Linked DNA regions of Struthio camelus. The protein of the gene in region 1 interacts with the protein of each later gene in a pairwise test. Links are inferred from orthologs where the notes say so. Each region holds a gene or a part of one and is shown in the gene's direction. Other genes may lie near its edges.

What was found. The genes of interacting proteins can lie anywhere in the genome.
Region 2: the proteins of DTNB (region 1) and PPFIA1 interact in binary tests that used the Homo sapiens proteins (3 or more experiments, as listed by UniProt). The link is inferred for Struthio camelus from reciprocal best matches to the Homo sapiens genes DTNB and PPFIA1.

Annotation. Positions count from the first base shown.
Region 1 is NC_090944.1:1,497,192-1,507,366, reverse strand, and holds the start of DTNB (dystrobrevin beta), read left to right. Parts: upstream 1-6,051; 5' UTR 6,052-6,060; coding exon 6,061-6,224; intron 6,225-6,506; exon of another isoform or gene 6,507-6,584; intron 6,585-10,175.
Region 2 is NC_090946.1:32,986,861-32,996,363, forward strand, and holds the start of PPFIA1 (liprin-alpha-1), read left to right. Parts: upstream 1-5,170; 5' UTR 5,171-6,102; intron 6,103-7,252; coding exon 7,253-7,516; intron 7,517-9,503. UniProt on the Homo sapiens protein: May regulate the disassembly of focal adhesions. May localize receptor-like tyrosine phosphatases type 2A at specific sites on the plasma membrane, possibly regulating their interaction with the extracellular environment and their association with substrates.

The DNA of each region.
Region 1 (10,175 bases):
TGAGCCAAAGGAGCAGTTTCTGTGGAGTTTTCCTTATTTGCCAAAACTTTTAATCTAAGCTGATTCTGTCTGAAGTGAGGTAGGAAGATTTTGCGTGATTTGCTCTATTGTTCAATGAAGATTGGGCATAGGGAAGGAGAGGTGATGACAGATACTGAAAATGGTGACATCTTCCACTGATTTTGATTGACTGAGAAGAGAATAGCTATATGTAGTCCAAACTGTTACCAGAAAGCTAAAGAACAGGATTAGGTTGCATTCTGTCAGTGTTCTTGCATGTATGCTATCCTGGCAATGCGTTCTTTACTCTATTTTCCCAATAAATATTTCCCAATACATATTTCCCAACTTTTCCCAACAAATATTTCATTTTGGTTAAGAGGCAATTTTGGAGTTATTTCACAGGCTGTAGCGAGCAGTTCTGGGAACCTGCAGATAGAAAGGGCTAGAAACAGTTTTGTAAGATTGGAAAAGCTAGGAAGCACAAACTGCACAAAAATCCCCTCTTGAGTTACAAAGACGAGCCTAACCGTCCTGAGAAGGAGAGGTAGGATGTTAATTAGGATATTTCTGAGCTTTTATTGCTTTAAAATCATGGTATAATACTTTGTTATCTAAAATGAACACCCCTTTATCTAAGGAAACAACTTTAACTGCTATATTTGCTCTTGTTTGCAAGGTCATGGTAAATATTCTGTATAGATATTATTTTTAACTTCAAAAGGTTGCAAAATCAATTTGTGTTCCTCAGGCTTTTGGGAGATCAAGGAAGATAAGACTTTGATGGCTTCTGTCATTAAAGAAAAACATTTTTATATTCAAGGCGCTTAGTGTTCTAACTTCTGTCTTGTTTGGTATAGTCAAATCTGTGTTTCAGCGAACTAAATATTTAAACATGCTTTATAGCTTGCTGGCCTACCCTTCCCCATGCTTAACAATTCCTCATTTACTAATAATAAATACGGATATAAAAATAATGGGTAAATATGGATATATATTTGCAAGTATTACCTTGTGGTATTGTCTAAAGCTTTCCTTTGCTGTCACGACTTAAACTCCAAAACTTAGCACCAGGGAGCTACTAATGTACTGTGCCTACTGCCTGTCTCATCCACCATTCTCCTGTTTTGCACCTGACCTTTAAGTTCTGTAGGACTGGCATTCAGTAGTCACACACATGAACTGAAATTTCATTGTGCTGCAAGTGGAACAATAATTCAAATGACTTGGAACTGTACCTGGTGTTGGCTTTTCTCTATTTCAGTCTTGAGTTAATTTGGTACTTGATTTTTCTTGTTTTTTTTTTTTATTTCACTTTATTTTTTGTAAAGATGTTTAAAGTTTTTGAAGGACTTTTTTTTTTTTTGTTCCATCTTTGCTTAACTGGTGTGTAGTAGAATCTTGTTTACTAGGTGGGAAGATAAGTTTGCTGGTCTCATATGGGGACTTAGGTGCTCATTATCCATAACAGTAAATTAAAGCAATAAGAACTGGTTGAGGACATGTTGCTGCATGCTATGTGCTTATACAAACAACACAGATGGCATTTTATGCCTTAAAAACTTCTTGCAATTTAAATGAAACTGGCAAGGCATGGAGTAGGGAAATGTTTAGTCCTTGGTACTAAATTGTTTCTTCCAAACTACTTGATTGCCCCTTAGTTTTCAGGGAAGTTTACTATATAATAAATTCATGTTTTTGCAAAATCTTCTTTAAAAGCAGTTTTGATCCACTATTTAAAAAGGAGGAGGGGGCTGGAAACAGTGCCATTCACTTATAGGTTTGTTTGCCATGAAATTAGATGTGATCTGTGATCTATTGTCTTGATCATAGGCTAGTTTTTTGTTGTTGTTTGTTTGTTTTCCCACTCCTGCTGTTCTAGACTGAAGTCAATTTTGTCCCAGATAGCTGTGCTATTAGAAGCCGCATATTATTACCATACGTTGTGGTAGTATGCAGAAGTAATGTTTTAAAAGTATTATTCTTAATCCTTTCTTTTGTTTCAGTTTGTTCCAAACAGTTATGGGTACAGAGTTTGAAATTTTAGTTAAACTAGAAGAATTATCAGAAATTCTAGTATACTTAAAGAGATGTTGTTGGTCTAGTTGCATCTTTTATAAGTGTGAAGGCTTCTCCACTATCATCTTTCTAAGTTTTGGTCTAAATGTGTTAGCTATTCCCTGATATAACCTCTAGACCTCTTTTTCTTTTCCCTGTGAGAGGCGTAGGGGAATGAAGGATTACTTTTACTCAATTAGATATATTAATGTTTGCTGAGGAAGGGGAGATGGGAATTTGAACAAAGTGAAGATGAAGAATGAAGAAATCGGAGGAAAAAAAAAAGACAGCATCAGATAATTGGGGTGAGCAAAGAAGGAAGTGAGGGAATAAAGTGAATCTTTATGACTTTGTTCAAATTTATAGTAAAGGAAGAGTTAAAAAATACTTCAGCATTTTTATTCACCCTAGACCCACTTTATTTAAAAAACAGGCCCCTTTATGTCATAAATTACTTAATTTGTAAACTTTAGAACTAGAACATTTATGATAAGATGGAAACTATTTAAAATGATTTAAATTAAATGGAAATTCAAGCCATACATGTTTAGAAGCCCAGAACAAATAACTACAAGTGCTAAACCAGCTGTGATAGCAGAACCTTTTCCGCAAGTACAGTTATGCTGTAAATATGCTGTAAATTTTTGTTCAATATCCTCAGCTCAATGGCAGGTTCATTCAAATCTTAAAAACTGAATGAACTGACAAGGGATGAAAGCTTCATTTCTTTAAACAGCCTGTGGACGTGAGATCCTTCTAATTTGAAGGTTGACAGGAAATTATTAAGCTTCCCTAACTGTAACTAGTATGTTTAAGAGCAAGATGTGCCCCAAACTAGTGTTCTAAATTTTCACTGAATTACAAGTTATTTCTGAATATAAATAAGTATAAGTAGAATTTTCCCTAACACAGCAAGTGCAGTCATATTAAGAGATGCCAAATACTTCCTCGAGTACAATGTAACATCAAGAATCTGAACAAACTCAAACTTAATAATTCATAAATAAGCATGTATTTCTGTGTTCTCCTATTTAGCTGATGAGGCAGCAGTGTCTAAATTACAATAATCAAAAGTCAAGTGAGCAAACACCTGAAACTGCAGATAAGAAACTAGAATGGGAGAGTAAATTTTGTAGTTCATAAAGTAGTAGGAAGTCAATATGATAGTAGTTAGGGAAGAAGAGAAAGCATGGCTTTTGAGATGGTGGCTATCATTAGTGCAAGAACAAAGGCTACATTGGCTGACAATAGTTAAATACGCTTTCTCCCTCCCGTTAATCTGGAGAGGAAAATCTGCTTACTTAGGCCGTTACCTACAGCTGATGAGCTCCAAGAAGAGCGAAACCTTTTAAAATAGGTCCTGTAGTATTGGCCTAACAATCTTCTAAGAGTGACTTGCTTACTTCATTTTTGTGCTTAAGTTTTAAGTGTAGTCAAAAACCACAGAAATAAGTAGTCCAGAGTCATCAGCAGCTAAAGCTGTGAAAGCAAGTAAAGGGGAAGTCTTCAGATTTTATTTTTTTTTATGTATTGTTTTTTCTGTTCAGCCCGGTATAAGCATAGGAAACATATGGCATGCATGTATTGGGGGGGGGGAGTTTTTTTGAAGAGAAAGAGAAAGGAGAAGAGTAGAACAGAAGAATGGAATATGAATAGGAAAAGAAGAAAGAGGAGTAAAGCTGAAATATGTTAATATTTGTGGTGCTATTTAAGGTATTTCAGATAGTGAAAGTGACTGTGTAGAAGTATCCTCCTTTACTGGAATGACATTTGTAAATTAAGGTTTCATATGAATTCTGTCATATGGATTACTCGATGAAGCAATGAAATAGTAATATGGTAGCTAATGAAAGAGGGAGAAGTTGGATGCATGAGGAAAGATTGTAAACTCTTTGAAGGTTTGCACTAAACATACTCAACTGTAGTTTTGGAAGGTGTTCGATCTTACAATTTTTTTGTGTTTCAAGGTGAAAAATGATAACATTTAAAGATTTTTTTTTCCCCCATACGGTTATCAAATAAGAATCACATTGTGTTTGGAGTTTTTTTGTTTTGTTTTTTAATGACTATTTTACCACAGGATAGATAATTCCCCTTTAAGTCTCAACATTATGAATTAAAATAATAGGCATCTTGAACTAAAATTTACCATGGGCCTTGGGGACTACCTTACCTTATTGCATTAAAAAATACATTTGTCTGTGTGTATGTATAATGTATTTGTGTATACACACAAATATACATATATATTCTATCATACTTTTATATATATATGACTGTTATCTTGTCACAGTGTGTTGGTAATTTTCAAGAGCCTCATAATGTCTATCTGAAAACTGAATACAGAGAAAAGTTAGCTGAACACATACGTTATGACAGAACTAATTGAAACTGGAGCAGGTTTTAGCTTACTTTCAATATCACTGAAGATAAATCAGGAAATGCGGTCTTATTACATCCGCTCAGTTTTAGGTGCTGGCTTCATCAGTGAGTTCAACTCTGATGCTTTTGCTTCTCATTTGAACTTGAACGTACTTCACTGTGAAGCCTTCTGGGCTATAGACAGTATCAGTAACTGTACTGACATTTCTTACAGATAAAAGATAAGCTCCTCCAATAATGGGTTCATCTTACTGATTTCAGATTTGCTTCTTTGCCTTCAACAAAATTACTGCCTCCTGACATAAAGCAAAACTGTATTTTATGGATCTAGCATGGTTCTCACTGTTAATTCAAGAACTGTTCTGTCACTGCAGTGAGAAGTTTTCTATGTTTCACTGCGTCAGACTTGAGCAGACCACCTGTGCACTCTTTAAGAGTTTTCTGTGCTTCTGGCTTAGGTGGTGAATGTAAGCTGAGCCCATGCTATCAGTGCAAGAGCTGATATGAAGACCAAAACCCGTGGAATATATTTTTACTTCCAGCTCTCCATGCTTACCAGAATCCTTGAAACTTTGGGAGACTTCTAGCTAGAAGAATTTTACTCAGGTGCAGAAACTCAACTGCGTTGGTTTTAACAACCTTTAAGGAAAAAATTGCATTAGGTTGAACCTACTCTTAGTCCTCATCCTCAAGTGAATCAAGAGCATTCATAATGTAAATGACCTCTCCAGATTATTAAATATTAGAAAAGGCTTTTTGAGGAAGAAATATCCGTGGAAATCAACCAGAACAGACCATATAAACTCACTTTCTCATCACTATGAATAGAAGCTAGTTGATGGTACTGCTTTTCTATTTAAAGTACAAATCAAACGTTTTGCTGGAAAAACAAAAACGGATGTTCATCACGAAACACCCTTGTGTGTGAAATTTGCATCTTTATCAGATTTCAGGTTTTCCCCTTCCTTTAAAAGATTAGTGGCAATCTCGATGTTTTATGTTCAGGCATGTTTCTCTAAGCACTTGAGATTTGAGCCTTGGGTTGAACTGAGTGGTGTAAAAGCTAAAGAAATGAAATCCCAGTATTACCATTTAATTATTTATATTTGCACCAATTCTATATGTTTAAAAAACCTGCTACTCTCACTTGAAGCACTGTGTAGATCTCTGAATTTGTTTAGTTTCAGTTCCAAGTACAGTGTTTAGTTCGAGCATGACTTTTGTGTCGTCTTAGTAGGTTTGTTTAGCTCTCAGAATACAGATTTTTATTTCAGAAAATTCTGTGGCAGGAGAAGGGGACTGGTAAAATTGCCTCAGTAATGTAGAGGTCAGAAAAACATTAAGAGCAAGATTACGTTCTTTTGCAGAAGACAACTTTAACTAATGAGTTAGAGATCAATTCCTTCTAGTCTCAGCGTTCTTAGGTTAACTCCATTCCATCACTGTACTAAACAGCAATATAGTCTTAAATGATAAATGAACAGAGGGTGAATAGTGAGACATCTGCTGAAAGAAACCATCATTAAAAATGCAAGCCAACCGTTAAGAATGTTAGAAGGACTCAATTAGTAATTGAATTTCATCTGCTACTTTATTGCCAGTGTAGATGCATGTAAAGTTATGCAAATGGAGGTGAGGGAACGGAGAGGAGAAACAGGCAATCCTAACTTTACATATCTACTGTTGTTCTCTGAGCTATCTGTTGCCCCTCAGGAATACTATCCTGATGCTCTGGTACCGTCCTGTGAAAACATCAGCAAGTGCTCAGTTGTAGTCAAAAAAAGGTAATAGAATATTAAGAATTATTAAGAAATATTAAAAAAAGAATAAAACAATATTACTGCTACTTTGTAAAGCAGTGGTATGCCTCTTATGTCAAATATAGTGTACAGTTCTGTTTCTCCTTCATCTCTGAAAGCAGATAACAGAACTAGAAAACATATGGAGGAAGGTGATAAGGATAATCAAAAGTAGGAGGGCAGTTTTTGTACGAAAAACTGTTATATCGTCTCCCGATTCTTCAGCCTGGAAAGGAGATGACTGAGTATTGTTCATGTCTCTTCCAGCCCAGAAGTGGGTGGAGGCAGGAGCCAGCATGAAATGGAACTAGGCAGTAATGAGTCCAAAACAATCGGAAGGATATGGTGAGGAACCGTACTTCTGGTGCAATCTACTGTGGTCTCTCTTATGTTCATATTAAAAAAATTACAAGTTTCCAAGAGTGCAAAATGGAATTTTACAGATTTCTGAGCCGTGCAGAAGAACCACACAGAAAGCAGGACTGAGTACTGCATTTTTTGCTGTTATTCTGAAAAATTTGGCTTTAAGAGTATTTAGAGCATAACCTCTCTCAACCTCATTAGAGGTTGACCAATTCATTAGAATTATTTTTAGAATTTGGCTCTGCTGGCTGGTGAGGCTTCTTCTTGATGTGTGGGCCCTTGTGGGAACCTGGCTTTTCTGTGTAGTTATTCTAGAATTCAGTGTTGCTTTAGTATTGGAGAAGGAAGGAAGCAGATTCTTTGATTAAACATTATTAATCCAAAATGTGACTATCTTAATGTGTATATTCTTCTTGATGAATTTTACCTTTGAAGCCCTTGAAGGGAAGGTGGCAGAAAGAGTAAGGAAAGAAGTAGGAAGTTGCCAGGTCTACCATATAGAAAGTAGTTGTGCTGTCAAGGTTTGTCAAGGCTCGGGAATGGATGAAAATCGGGCATTTTCTTACTCTGGTCAGGATCCCAGAAAACTAGCTGGCACATTTGGGTTTGGTGTATACAATTTAAAGCTATGTTTAAAGGAGTGTTAAGGTTAAAGGTCAAACACCTTAGGATTTTAATGCTTCCTTTTCAGTCCTGACCATTTATTTCCCTTTACTCACACGCACTGAGATGCAGTGTTTATCATTGTTTTTATAAAAATCTGAGCTAATAGTTAAGGTAATTTTCATGTTAAAACTCCTTCCTAATTTCATCTTCTGAATCCGTATTGCTTTCTGCATGGGTCATCATCTGTAAAGTTCTAATGTTTATATCTGTTTGCACCTCCATGTTGCACTGGAGCTAATGGAGTGACTGCTGTCATTTCTCTGGATGAACAGCTAAAGGGAAATGAAATGCATTTTGTTTTTATATTCCATTGGTATAGGAAAATTTAAATTCTGAGTTACTGTATTTTGGAAAAGCTGTATTTTCTGCTATTTGTAGAACCTTTAATCCTTACCTCTCATCTTTCAGTTTGTCCAAGTCAAATACTAATTCATGTGCTTTGCCTTGCTACTCATTACCATTCCAGTCATTCCTGTGCAAAGTTGTAATCCGGTGTGTTAGTCTTCACTTCTGTCTCACCTCCTTGTTCAGTCTGTTGTGTTTTCCTGTCCTAGGCTTTTCCTAGTTATGTGCACCAGAATTGCTTTAGTCACCTCTTGGTTTGCCCTTTCCTTGGCTCATTCCTTATCTTTTCAGCTTTCCTGGCATGCATGTTTTGATTTGGACTCACTGGAGCATAAAGCGCTTTCAGTAGAAGGAATGACGAAATGAACTGGGATCCCTCAGCATGGAAGAGAGGGCTGGGGAAAAGATATGCTGGAGATCTATAAAGTCATAAATGTCATGGAGAGGATGGATAGTGGTGGTTCTCCCACCCCCATCCCATTTTTCCTTCCCATAGAAGAACTGTGTGACTTCAAAATCTGATGGGAGAAGGCAGGTTCAAAAGAATGCAAGAAGGTGATTTGTTGAACTGTGGGTTTTATGCTCTGGAATTTCTTGCTGCTAAGTGCTGTGGACATTAAAAGTTTACAAGTTGTGAAGGACAGGCAGATAGGCTCATGGAGGAGAAAGCTGTGGATGGTTACTAACTCCAGAGGATCAATTTGACTCTGGAAGTCTTGGCGTTGCGAACTTTTGGACCTTGAAAGTGTATTCTCAGGAAACTTTAACTGTGTGCTTGTTCCAGTCTTGCATTCTTCCCTCGACATCTACTTTGGGCTGCTTTTGGAGACATGATACTGCTTTGGCAAGATGGATATGGCGCAGTGTTATTTTCTTATTAGAACTTTGCAACAAAATGATTAAGATTTTTAAGCATCATCAAGCATATTTATTTTTCTAAACCGCCTTAATCATTTTATCTCAGTTCTTCTTTATAACTGAAGTCCAACAAGCTCCTTCTGGCTTACTGTTAGGGAAACCCTCAGGTCCAAACCTGAAGTTTTGTGAATATATAAGGTCTTTCTTCTGTTGACAGTGTAAAGGATTGACAGTTTTAGATCTGTGTTGCTACTGCCCTTTTTATAGCAATAAAAACCATAGGGCATGGACTTGCGACTTCTTTTGCATAGGGTGGTCATATAGCATGTGTTATATAGTTAGCATACAGTAGCATAGGCTAAAGAGTATAAAAATGTAGTACAGTTCTGTAAGATTCACATTGGTCTATGTGTATTGCTAATTCTAAGCACTGCTGATCTATTGATGTTTTGAAGAATGATAAAGTAGATATCAAGTCTGTAGAAGCAACTAGCCACCAATATGAAGGATAAAATTAGGTAGAAAAAACTTGTATCTGCTTAAACATGTAGTGTGTTACTGGAGAATCACCATTTAAATGACATTGTTGCCTGATGGTACATAAAACAAATACTTGAGTGTTTTTTCTCTGCGTATGTCCATTGTAAGGCTGAGCATATGTCCATTTGAAGAACTTTTGTCTGCCATATCATTTTGATCCGTGCACATTTCTCAGCACTTTTCTCATGCCCTGTACCACAAATATTTAAAAAAAAAAAAAAAAAAAGATGCTGAGCAAACTACAGTCCATCTCTTTGACTTTCTGATGTTGTGCGCTCTAGTTCACCTCTTTAGCATAATTCTAGTTGTTCTGGCTTTAGTTCACTTCTATTTTGAACCTAAGATAGGTTTAAAGTGCTAAGGGTGAATACAAACTTTTCATCTTTCTTCCTCTCAGTTCCGTCAGTAAGAAACATTACTGTATCTGTTTGTTCAGGCTTTCAAAACTGCTTTGTCAGTTACTCTAATAAATCTCATTTGCCTAGTGTCGTTTCCACAACTTTTCCAAATATCTGTCAGTTTGTCCCTTAAACTTATCTCTCCGGTCAGACTACTTGGCTTGTAATGGATAACACTCTGGCCCAGAAAGATTGTTTCTTTAGATGTTCAGTCCCTCACAGATAACAGAAGAAAGAAATCTGTAAGAAAAGTTTATGTATCTAAATAGTACCATTTGTTTTCTCAGCAAGCGGGTACAGGATTGTTGAACTATTGACCTATTGAAACTTTCAGGTCTTTTGCTTCCTTCAAGAAAGGTAAGAGACTTGGAAGTGGTCCTGAGAAAACATTGCTCTGGACATGATTTTTCTGAAACCGTAACTGAATTATCTGTACAAGATAGTTCCTGATTTATAGGTTAATCACGGTGCATTATTGTGTCTCTGGAACACATTCTAATCATGGAGAGACCAGATTACTTACTAAGATCTCATTTCAAGGATAGTGCTGAACAGTTACTCATTTGCTTTGCAGTGAGTATGAACGGTAGTGCTAACTTCTTTAAAATTTTAAAAGCGTACATCTTGGTAAATGTAATCTATTTAGCTGTGAATTTTGAATAATAGTGTTATATAACCATGGTCTGTGCAGCTTTAATGACCTCTTCAAAAAACAAAATCTTGACACCCACGAAGCAGCAAAGTGTTGGTGGAGGAAGAGATTGAT
Region 2 (9,503 bases), on another chromosome or scaffold:
GGTGACAAAGACATGGGTGAGAACTCCTTCAGGCTGAGGAGGCTCTACAGCTGAAACCTCCTGCTGCTCAGACGGGCACTCTGGCCGCTGGCGAGAGCAGCTGGGACAGCTGAACGCGAGAGTGCTCATGCCTTGTCAACAAACTGGTTGAAGTGAAGATTAATAGATGGAGGTCATTAACATTTATTCTCCGGTTCTGAATTGTGTGGTATGTTGTTTGCTTTGCTTTCATAATGAAGCATGATTATAGCTGGTAGATATATACAGCATTTTATTTTTAACCATTTAAGGTCAAAACAAAACTTAGTTTAAAAATAACAAAACACATTCCAAGTCATCCTAAAATGCAAAAGAAACGCAAAGATATCTTTTAGGATCCGTGTGAATACAGTGGTTTGCTTATGAATTTGTGCCACAGAACCTGGGTCTGAGGTAAATCAGTCTTGACTAGACTTAGTGCAGTGTCCAATTTGATAGAGATCATCAATTTTGTGCCTAATACGGTGTTTAACCTTTTAGCCCTTACATTCAGAATCTCTCCCTTTGACTCATGCATAAAATGAAAATCAAACCAGGATAGTTTATTTTTACTAACATTATTAGTTTTCATTTTTTATGTAGGACAAGTTGAAATGAAATAGTATTTGCTCATATAGCTGTAAATTCGACTGTATTTCTCAGTCTTGTTTTATTTTTGCTTGAACACATTATAATTGAAGATGCTGCCTTGACTGCTCCTTAGATTGGATGTCCTCTTCATTGACAGAACTGGTATGACAAATGTAGTCATGACAAAAGACGGGGATTTTGGCACGCACTGTCCACCTGCGTTGTGATCGGGAAGGACGGCCGGAGTTGCAACGTTTGTCAGGCAGAGCCAGGTCAAAGAGTCTAAGCCCATTTGAACTCTGACTCTCAAAGGATGAAGATAAAATAACGGCAGTTCCTTATCAGTAAAGGCATCTCATGGCTCCGCTGCCCTCACTGCCGCAGCTGACCCGTAAGAGGAACATATTCACAGGGTACAAAAATTCAGATCTCAGCTTAGGTACAGCATACGAGGTCCGCAGTGCAGCACAGTGTCATGTTATGGGTCAGAAGTGAGGGACGTGCTTTGTGTTGTGTGTCTTACTGGGTAATATGATGTGGGAGGGATGGGGGGAGAGGTTAAAAAGGAGAAGCTATGGGGAATAAGAGACTGTGCTACTCTGCAAAACTTAGGAGCAATGTGATAAGCATCATGGCTGTCATGGATAACTGTCTATAGCTGTAGTCTTAGTACCCAGCAGCGACCCTGGAATGCAGCAGGCTTCAGCACTGGGAACCAATTGCCTCGGCTGACTCTGAAATGTGGATATCTGCCACTCTGCTGGAACTGTTCATTTAGCTGGCAATTAGTAGCAACAAGATTCCCCAAAATACTGGAAAATCTTCTGAAATTCGCAGGTACTGCAATTTTTTGGTTTCTTTTCCACAAATAATTATGATCCCAATCCTACAAATTGTTCCCTTCTGAACAGCTAAATTTCTGAATTAATTGAAGCAATTGTAGCTTTGGCCTGGATGAAATCCTACTCTGCTTGTTATCAGGGGAACAGCTTTGCCTTTCTGGTAATAAAGAAGCCTACGAAATACCTATCAAAATCAGTTGATGGTAACTTAATTTAACATACTTTAAGTGTTATGCCTGCATGACAGTTATATTTAATAGTTCCATTATTCACCATGCAATAGTTCAGGCACAATTGTCCAACAGTACGGGTCCGTATCTAGTAACATTTGGAGAATGACAGGAAAATGAGATCTTTTTAGCAATAGTTTATCACTCCACTAGCGTGTTTGTAAAATGTGTTTTTCCTCCCCTCAGAATTAACATGAAATGTTCTTCTGTGGTTCAAAGAAAATTTTCATGCAAGTGTAAGCATGAAATCTAGAAACTGTTTGAACTCGAGAGTAGATCAGTGGACATAATTTCTGAAATGGCTGCTCTGCAACTACAGATGAAAAGACTAATGGCCTGTGGGGCATTATTTAAAAAGCTGGTCCCTTGGCTATTATTCATAAATGATTTCACAATGGAATCACTAATTTTCAATATTGAGGGCTTTCTACTAAAAATTAAGCAAGGCTATCACTTTGATACTAGACTTGCAGTACAAAATGAAGACAGTAGAGCAAAAAGTTTTAATCTTCCAGAAAATTACCATAGTTTTTGTTTATTTTTTAATAATGAGGAAAAGGAATTTATTTGATTTTTTTAACTTATTGCTATCCAGTTTTTTAGGTATCACTTTATCAGACTGATAAAAATTTGACTTACTTATTCCTTTGTATTTTCTTCTTGAATATTGCATTATAGAGGAAGGGAAAAATAGTCCAAACTCCTAGTCTGAGATTTAGGGAAATCACTCCCCGACTCTTCCACGTGTTTCTGACTGTGCTCAGAAAAATGTGTTAGTTTTTCACGTACGTAGAAAGAATTTAAATATTCTTACCAGTGCTTTGCTTAACTTTTCAAAGAGACGATCCAGTTAGCAGAGCATTTTTGTTTTCTTTAAAAAAGCAAACAAAATCAGGACTTACAGTATAAGCAATATACTTGTCCATGAATTGCATAGGAGTTATAGGAGATGATTTTACTAATGCAAAGACAAACAGAGCATTTGGGACAATGAAATAGAAGCAGGCTCTGTAGAAATGTGCTTAGAAATAAAAGAGCCGATTATTTTCAAGGTAATCTTCTGGGCCTAGTCTTAAGCACTAAGTAATTACCTTTATTTTACCTCAGAAATCTGTTGCTGTTCTTCATAACCACGGCCCAAATTCTGTCGCTAGTTCTACATATCAATTATGTGAAAGAAAGCCTCAGTGTGGGCAAAATAACAGGTTGAAGCCCGGAAGCCTCTTCCTTCCACCTGTCCTACGATCACTTTAAGGTTATGTTAAAATCAAAGCTAATAAGCATATAATATATCAGCATAAATATATCCAATCTTATAAGGAATAGCACTGCGCTGTATTGAGACTATTTGACAACACAGGTCATTCCATATCATTAGGGGGCTTTCCTCCGGAATGACACAATTGATTTTAACTTTTTTGCTACTGTTTCTGTATTGAAAAGTCAGATCTCGGTATTTTATACAATTACAGTTCAGATGTGTATTATTTGGCATTGAATCTCTGCTAGCCAGTATTTGGTAGAACTCATGATTTGAATGTGCCTCCTAATATTTGGCTTTTTCCTTAAAGTCCTGGCTTCCGGAGTCATGTGATTACATCAGACACTTCAAGAGAAAAAAAAAATCTAGATCTCATGGTTCTAGAGAAAAAACTTAAAAATCTGATCTGAATTCACCCTAGGGCTCAAATACCAAAGGCAAATACAGAGCACAATGTATTAAGTTCATAATTGTAAAGGTTTTCCTGCCTGGGGGAAGGAAGAGTGACTTATTAATAACTCTAGTCAGTTCTAGGTGCCTCTACGTTGTGTTTACAAATTAGGTGTCACATAACTCAGTCATAAAACTGCATGAGCTTCAGTTCAGGGACTGTTATTTTTTTGCATGACCTGCAACTGTGTAACCGGCCCCTGACGCTTATTGGAGCTTTGCATTTATAAAAGAAAGAACGGGGTCTAAAATGCAAATGCTTTATTCAGTGACGCTTTAAAGTAGTAACACAAACTTTTTACAAAGGGTACAGAGAGTACTTTTCTAAGCTTTGCGTACAGATTAAAACCCTACTGCGTTGTGTGAAAAAGCCTTACAAACATGATGAACCTGGAACAGAGTGAAAGCTATGTACGTGCAAGCGGAAAGTATTTATATGCTGTTTGGAAACAGTTTTAAACTGGGGGAGCGGGGCGGGGGAGGCTCTTTTGTCAGTGTAGCCAAACCCCATTTCCTGTGGGGAGTAAGCTGTACCAGTGAAACCCCCTTTCGCTGGTGTAACTGTGTCGGTGCTACAGGCTCGGCCAGCGCGGCTCACCTGCTTTTCTCCTAGTCCTGCCCCACAGGTTAAACCTTCCTAGCCGGGACCAGCCCCTGGGACCGCGCGCAAACGTCGTACCAACGGTGGTGGGAGAAAGCTCCTCGCGCCGTTTCATCTGCCGCTTTGCGCGGACAGGAGACCCATACAGGCCGTTCCTCCTCTAGCCCCTTTACTCATGCCAGAGCCCTTAGTCATACAGGATTATTGGTTAAAACCATCACCCCATAGCTGTGTGAGCGCTAGCTAATTTTTTTGAATGAAGGTGGAGAGCGCAGGCCGAGGGGCCCGGCTGTGGCTCGGGGGGGTAGGCCCAGGCCCAGGCCCGGGGCCTGGCTGCGGCCAAGGCTGAGGCCAAGGCGGAGGGAGTGGGCGATGCCCGCCGCGGGCTGCGTGGCCGCTGCCAGGAGCGGGCAGACCTGCCTGGCAGGGCCGTGCCGGGACACGCAGAGCCCGAGGAAGGAGGCTTCGCCAGCCGTCCCCGCGTGTAATTACGGGGCAACACTGGCACACACAGCGCCCTTGAGCGCCGGGCGCCCTTGCTGCTGAGGCCTCAGCGAGCGTGCCTCCCTGCGCGGAGGCGGGCGGCGCGGCGCGGCGCGGCGCGGCCCGGCCCGGCCCTCCTCGCGGGTTGACAGCCGCGGGCGGCGGGAGCATCGCTGGCAGGGCACCGGGGGGGAGCGGGGCTCGAACCCGCGGCCACGGACGACGGCAGGGGCGGGAAGGTAGGCGCGCCCGACCCCCGCGCGGGGCATTGTGGGCCCCGGAGTAATTTATGCAGGACCGCAGAGGGCGCCGGGAGAAGCGGGAGGCGGCGGCGGCGCGGGGGCTGGCGGCGGCGGCCGGGGCTGGCGCGGCCGGCGGCGGGTCGGGCTCGGGGTCCGGCTGGCGGCCGTGAAGGGGCGCTCGGAGCGCGCGGGGCCTGCGCCGCCCCCTGAGGCCGCAGCGGCACCGGCGGACGCAGGCCGCCGCCGCGGAGCAGCGGCACCAGCCGGTCTCGGCCAGCCCTTCGCCGGCCGCCGCGGCCGCGGAGGTGGCGGCGGGCGGAGCCGGGCCCGGCTCGCGGCGACGCGCGCGGCCCCGCCGCTCCCTAGCGAGGGCCCCGCTGGGCGCGGGGCCTCCGCGGCCGCGCTCGCCGCTGCGGCGGCCCGAGCCGGCCCTGCGCGGGCTGCCGCGGAGCGGGGCTGCGCCGCCGCGCAGGGAGGCCCGGCGCGGCGCGGCGCTCCCGCGGGAGCAGGGAGCCCTGTCTCGCCGTCTCGGTGCATCTTTGTTTGCCGGGGCCTCCGCAGGGCAGAGAGGCGTCGAGAGCCGGCCTTGAGCTGCCGGTTTTGCCCGTGGCTCCTGGGCCCTGCCGCCTCCTGCGCCGCCTGCCTCCGTTTCCCGGCTGGTTTCTTTCATCCCTCTCGGCTGGATATCGAAATTCCGCAGCATCGTCGGTGGGACTGGCCGGGGCCAGAGTGCGCCTGTAAAGCGGCTGGAGGAGTAATGCAGGCGAAGCTGCGAGTCTCCCTTCTGCTCGCCTTTCAAACCGGTATCAGCTCCTCGCTTTTGGGATTATAAATGTTTGAGCTAAGGCCCAGGAAACTGAAAGGAGAGCCTCCTGTTGGAATTAATAGAGGAGGAAAAAAAGGAGGCTTTTCCAAATCCTTTGCAAGAAAACTCAAGTCGTTGTTCCGTCCTGTCCTTTTTCTGTTCAATAAAGTGACTGTGACCTGAGTGGAATTTCAGAGCAATGAACTATTGAAGCTTGTTGCACCAGCGGCATAGAGTATTTTTTTTTCTCTGCACGTGATTCCAGCTGTTGCAGGAACTATGGGCCAGTAATAGAGAGATGGGAAGCTGAAAAGGTTTATTTTCACGTTCTCTGTTCTGGGGACTTGAGTAGTTAGCTGAAGTTGCTGCTGCTTTTTACTGGATCAGCTCTTTGCCCCGCAGGTTTATTCATTTTCGTGTGTATGGAGTATTTCAATTACATAGACGTTGGGCTAGAGCTGAATGGATAGTTTGCAATCTGAAAAGTTTTGGGGGATAACAGAAGACTAAAAACAGAAAAACTGGTACTGCAGGAAACTTGACGCCTGTTTTCCAAGCCTTTTTATTTCATTGAACAAGGTAAATAACGTAGTGGTGTCGAAAATACAGGCCTTTTGGTAATCATGCATAAAAATGTTGCAGCATTTCAGACTTTTTGAAGTTTTTCAAGAGATTCAGAGGTGTAGTCCCACGGTAATGCTCTGAATAAGTTTAATTGTTCTTTAAAATGTGCAGATATCAATGTGAACTTAAAGGCTGAGAACAAACGTTATGGTACCTGGGAGGATGTGAGAGAACTTTTTTCTTATCTGTTTTAGGGTCTCGTAGGTTTGTGTTGTTGAGAGAGGCTGTCTGGAGACCTTCAGAGGTCTTCAGGACCTTCAGAAGGTTCAGTGAGAATGTGCAGTAATCACATGTGTGATTTTTTTTCCTATGCTTTTTAAAAAGTTTCTGTCTCCTGTGGTGATCTGCTTGGGGTCTTTAAAGCATCCATCCAGTTTAACAGTAGTAATGTAATTAAATTTGTACTGTTAACTGTGTTCATACTGTGACTTCAATTATTTTCACTTACATTTACTGTTGTTATCAACAGTGACAGCTGGTACCACTTAATAACGACATCTTACTTTCTCTTATTATTTTATTACTGTTGAGGGCTTTTATCTTCTTTTACATGTTTCTCTCTTGAATTGGAGAATCTGGATTTACTGTTAATTTACATGCATCAAATTTACCATAGAGGTTCTGCTCCTAGCATAAGCTCAAAGTAGTTGTTTAGAATACCTTCTTTGTGTATGGTAGGAGTTGGAGAAGACAGATAATGATTCTCAAAATATGCAATATAATCAGTAACAAGTTTAAGTATATAATTTTTGTGTCTTGCTGCTTGCTTTATCTTTCTTTTTCAAAGACCTCAGCAACAGTTTCCTCTTAACAAAAATATAAATCTGTTAAAATGAGATCATAGTTTGAAATGTAGCTGTAGAAATCTGATTTTGCAAGAAGTCACAAGATTCTCATTATAAAGTGATTAAATTGGTTGTATACCTTTTCTCCTGCAGTCTTAATGAAACAGTGGCAAGCACAAAGGTGTTGGCAACCTTTGCTGATGCTATCATTGGGAAAGCTAAATTGGTGTTATGGGTAGTATCCCAAGTTCCTTTGCTTATCATGTTTAGATTTGTTTGACTGAGACTTATGGTTTTTATTTCTCTTGTTTTATTTCAAGATGATGTGTGAGGTGATGCCAACCATCAGTGAGGCAGAGATTCCCTCTGGGGGAAATGGAGGCCATGGTTCAGGTTCCCCGTTACAGTCAGATGCTGATTCCCATTTTGAGCAGTTAATGGTGTCCATGTTGGAAGAAAGGGATCGCCTTCTGGAAACGCTAAGAGAAACTCAGGAGACGCTAGCGTTGACCCAGGGCAAGCTACATGAAGTTGGTCATGAGAGAGATTCCTTGCAGAGACAGCTCAATACTGCACTTCCACAGGTATGGACATTTTCAAAGGAGGGTATCTGGTGATAATTTTTTTCTGTGTCATTTTGTTTTTGTTTTTTTCTTTATTCAATTTACTTAAAAGTCAGGTTATGTCAGGGGAAGATCAATCTAGCCTAGTATTTTCCTGAAGGTATTTGTTGTTGCTTACTTTGAGACATGCAAAAGTAGAGACCAACCAAAGACCAGCCCTTTCCCTCCTGTATGCTTTCCTGGTTTTTGGTGTTTCTTTGGCTTAGGGGCAGCTTGAACGTTAAGGTGTATCTACATCCTTTTGTGTAATAGAACTTGTTGGACTTTCTTCTACCACTCTCGTAATTTTTTTTTTAAATGCAGTTTCTATCTGCCTTATTCATTCATATGCTCAAGGATTACATATAAGCTGTTGGAGAGAAAGCAAACCATTCTGATACTGTTATGGACTTAGATTCAAAAACTGGGAAGTTTAAGACTGCTACCTTGTGAATACGTGCTGTGTTGCCGTGGCAGTACAGAAATCTGAGCGTTTTGGTTACCTCGCTTAGTGCCTTTTAGGAGTATGGATTTGTGTTTGATAGGAGTTACTAATGATTAGCTTCTGGAGGAGCTTTCTACCAGGAAGGCAGTAAACTAACATACAGCCTGTGCTACTAAAAGTATTATATAGGACAGTAGTGTGTAGTTAGGAAAAATAGTTCATATCTACAGAACTTGTCTGTTTTTATCCATTCTAGTTAAAAAGAATACAACTGAACCTTTTTAACCTTGAAAAATTTCAAAAAGCTGCAAGAACCCATCTGATGATAGTCAAAGCAGGGACTGCTTTCAGTCTTCAAATGACTGATGATAACCTTATACTTCCTAGCATATTTGGTTATGATTCCAAGTATGTCATGATAGTGATGTACACACATGTTATTCCAAGAATACATATTATTTTCCAAATGTTTACATATCCTTAAATATTGTAGTTACTGTTTATACTCTTTAAAACAGTAGTCTTAAACCTTCTTATTTCCACTACTTTCATCCTAGCGTAGTCACTGTATGACTCCTAGTATGGTAAGCTGTCCTGGAAATAACTCAGGAATAGGAAATAAAAAGTAATACATGTTCATATAGTTGTATTACTACGGTATGGTAGAAATCAGAAAGGAAAAGTTTCCAGCCTTTGCTGCTTCCTGTGTTAAATCATGTGCTTCAGGCAAAAATCATTATTTGTTTTTCCTTTGTTTTTTATTGTAATAGTTGTGGCTTCTCGTTAGCCACTATTTTAGATCTGCTGCATTAATGTATGCTATTAACCAGTTGTATGGTCTACAGACTGTTACACTTGAATTTGTGACTGAGTAGAATCACCAAGGCTCTAAACTGTACCGTTCCTCTTTTTTCCCTTTTCAATTCTCAGATTTCTTTCCTAAATCTATAAGCTACTAATATGTAAGCATTTCTTTCAAAGATAAAAGATTAATGCAGTTGAATTCCAAATTTCAAGAATGTCATAAATGTCTCACGTCAAGTCTGTAGGAAGCAGCGTCTCATAGTTGAGAGAAATTTTACTGGAACTTTAGATAAATATACAGCAAAGAATGGATTTTTATAGATTGCTGCTGAAAAAATTTATCTTGTTTTTATCCTCAGTGGTGCTTAAGTTTAAACAATTACAGCAAGTGACGATGATGCCTTCAAGTTACGTTCCTGAAATATTTTATTGTTGCTACAAATCAGAAATAATATCTTATGTATTTGACAACTTTTGTTGTTGCTACAGTAAACAGTCAGTTACTTTGTGTATATATAGACTTCTGACAAATGATGAAACAGAATGCTTTTTAAAAATTCTAATAAATATTCCCTGCGGAAACTTTGTGGTGACTATAACATTTGAAACTATTTAAACTTTTGTATTAATTACTGCAAACTGAGCATTCTTTTGAACTAGTGCCTCAAATGACCCATTCTTTAGCTGTGGATTTCAAGTAGGGGTGGAAGCAGGATAAGT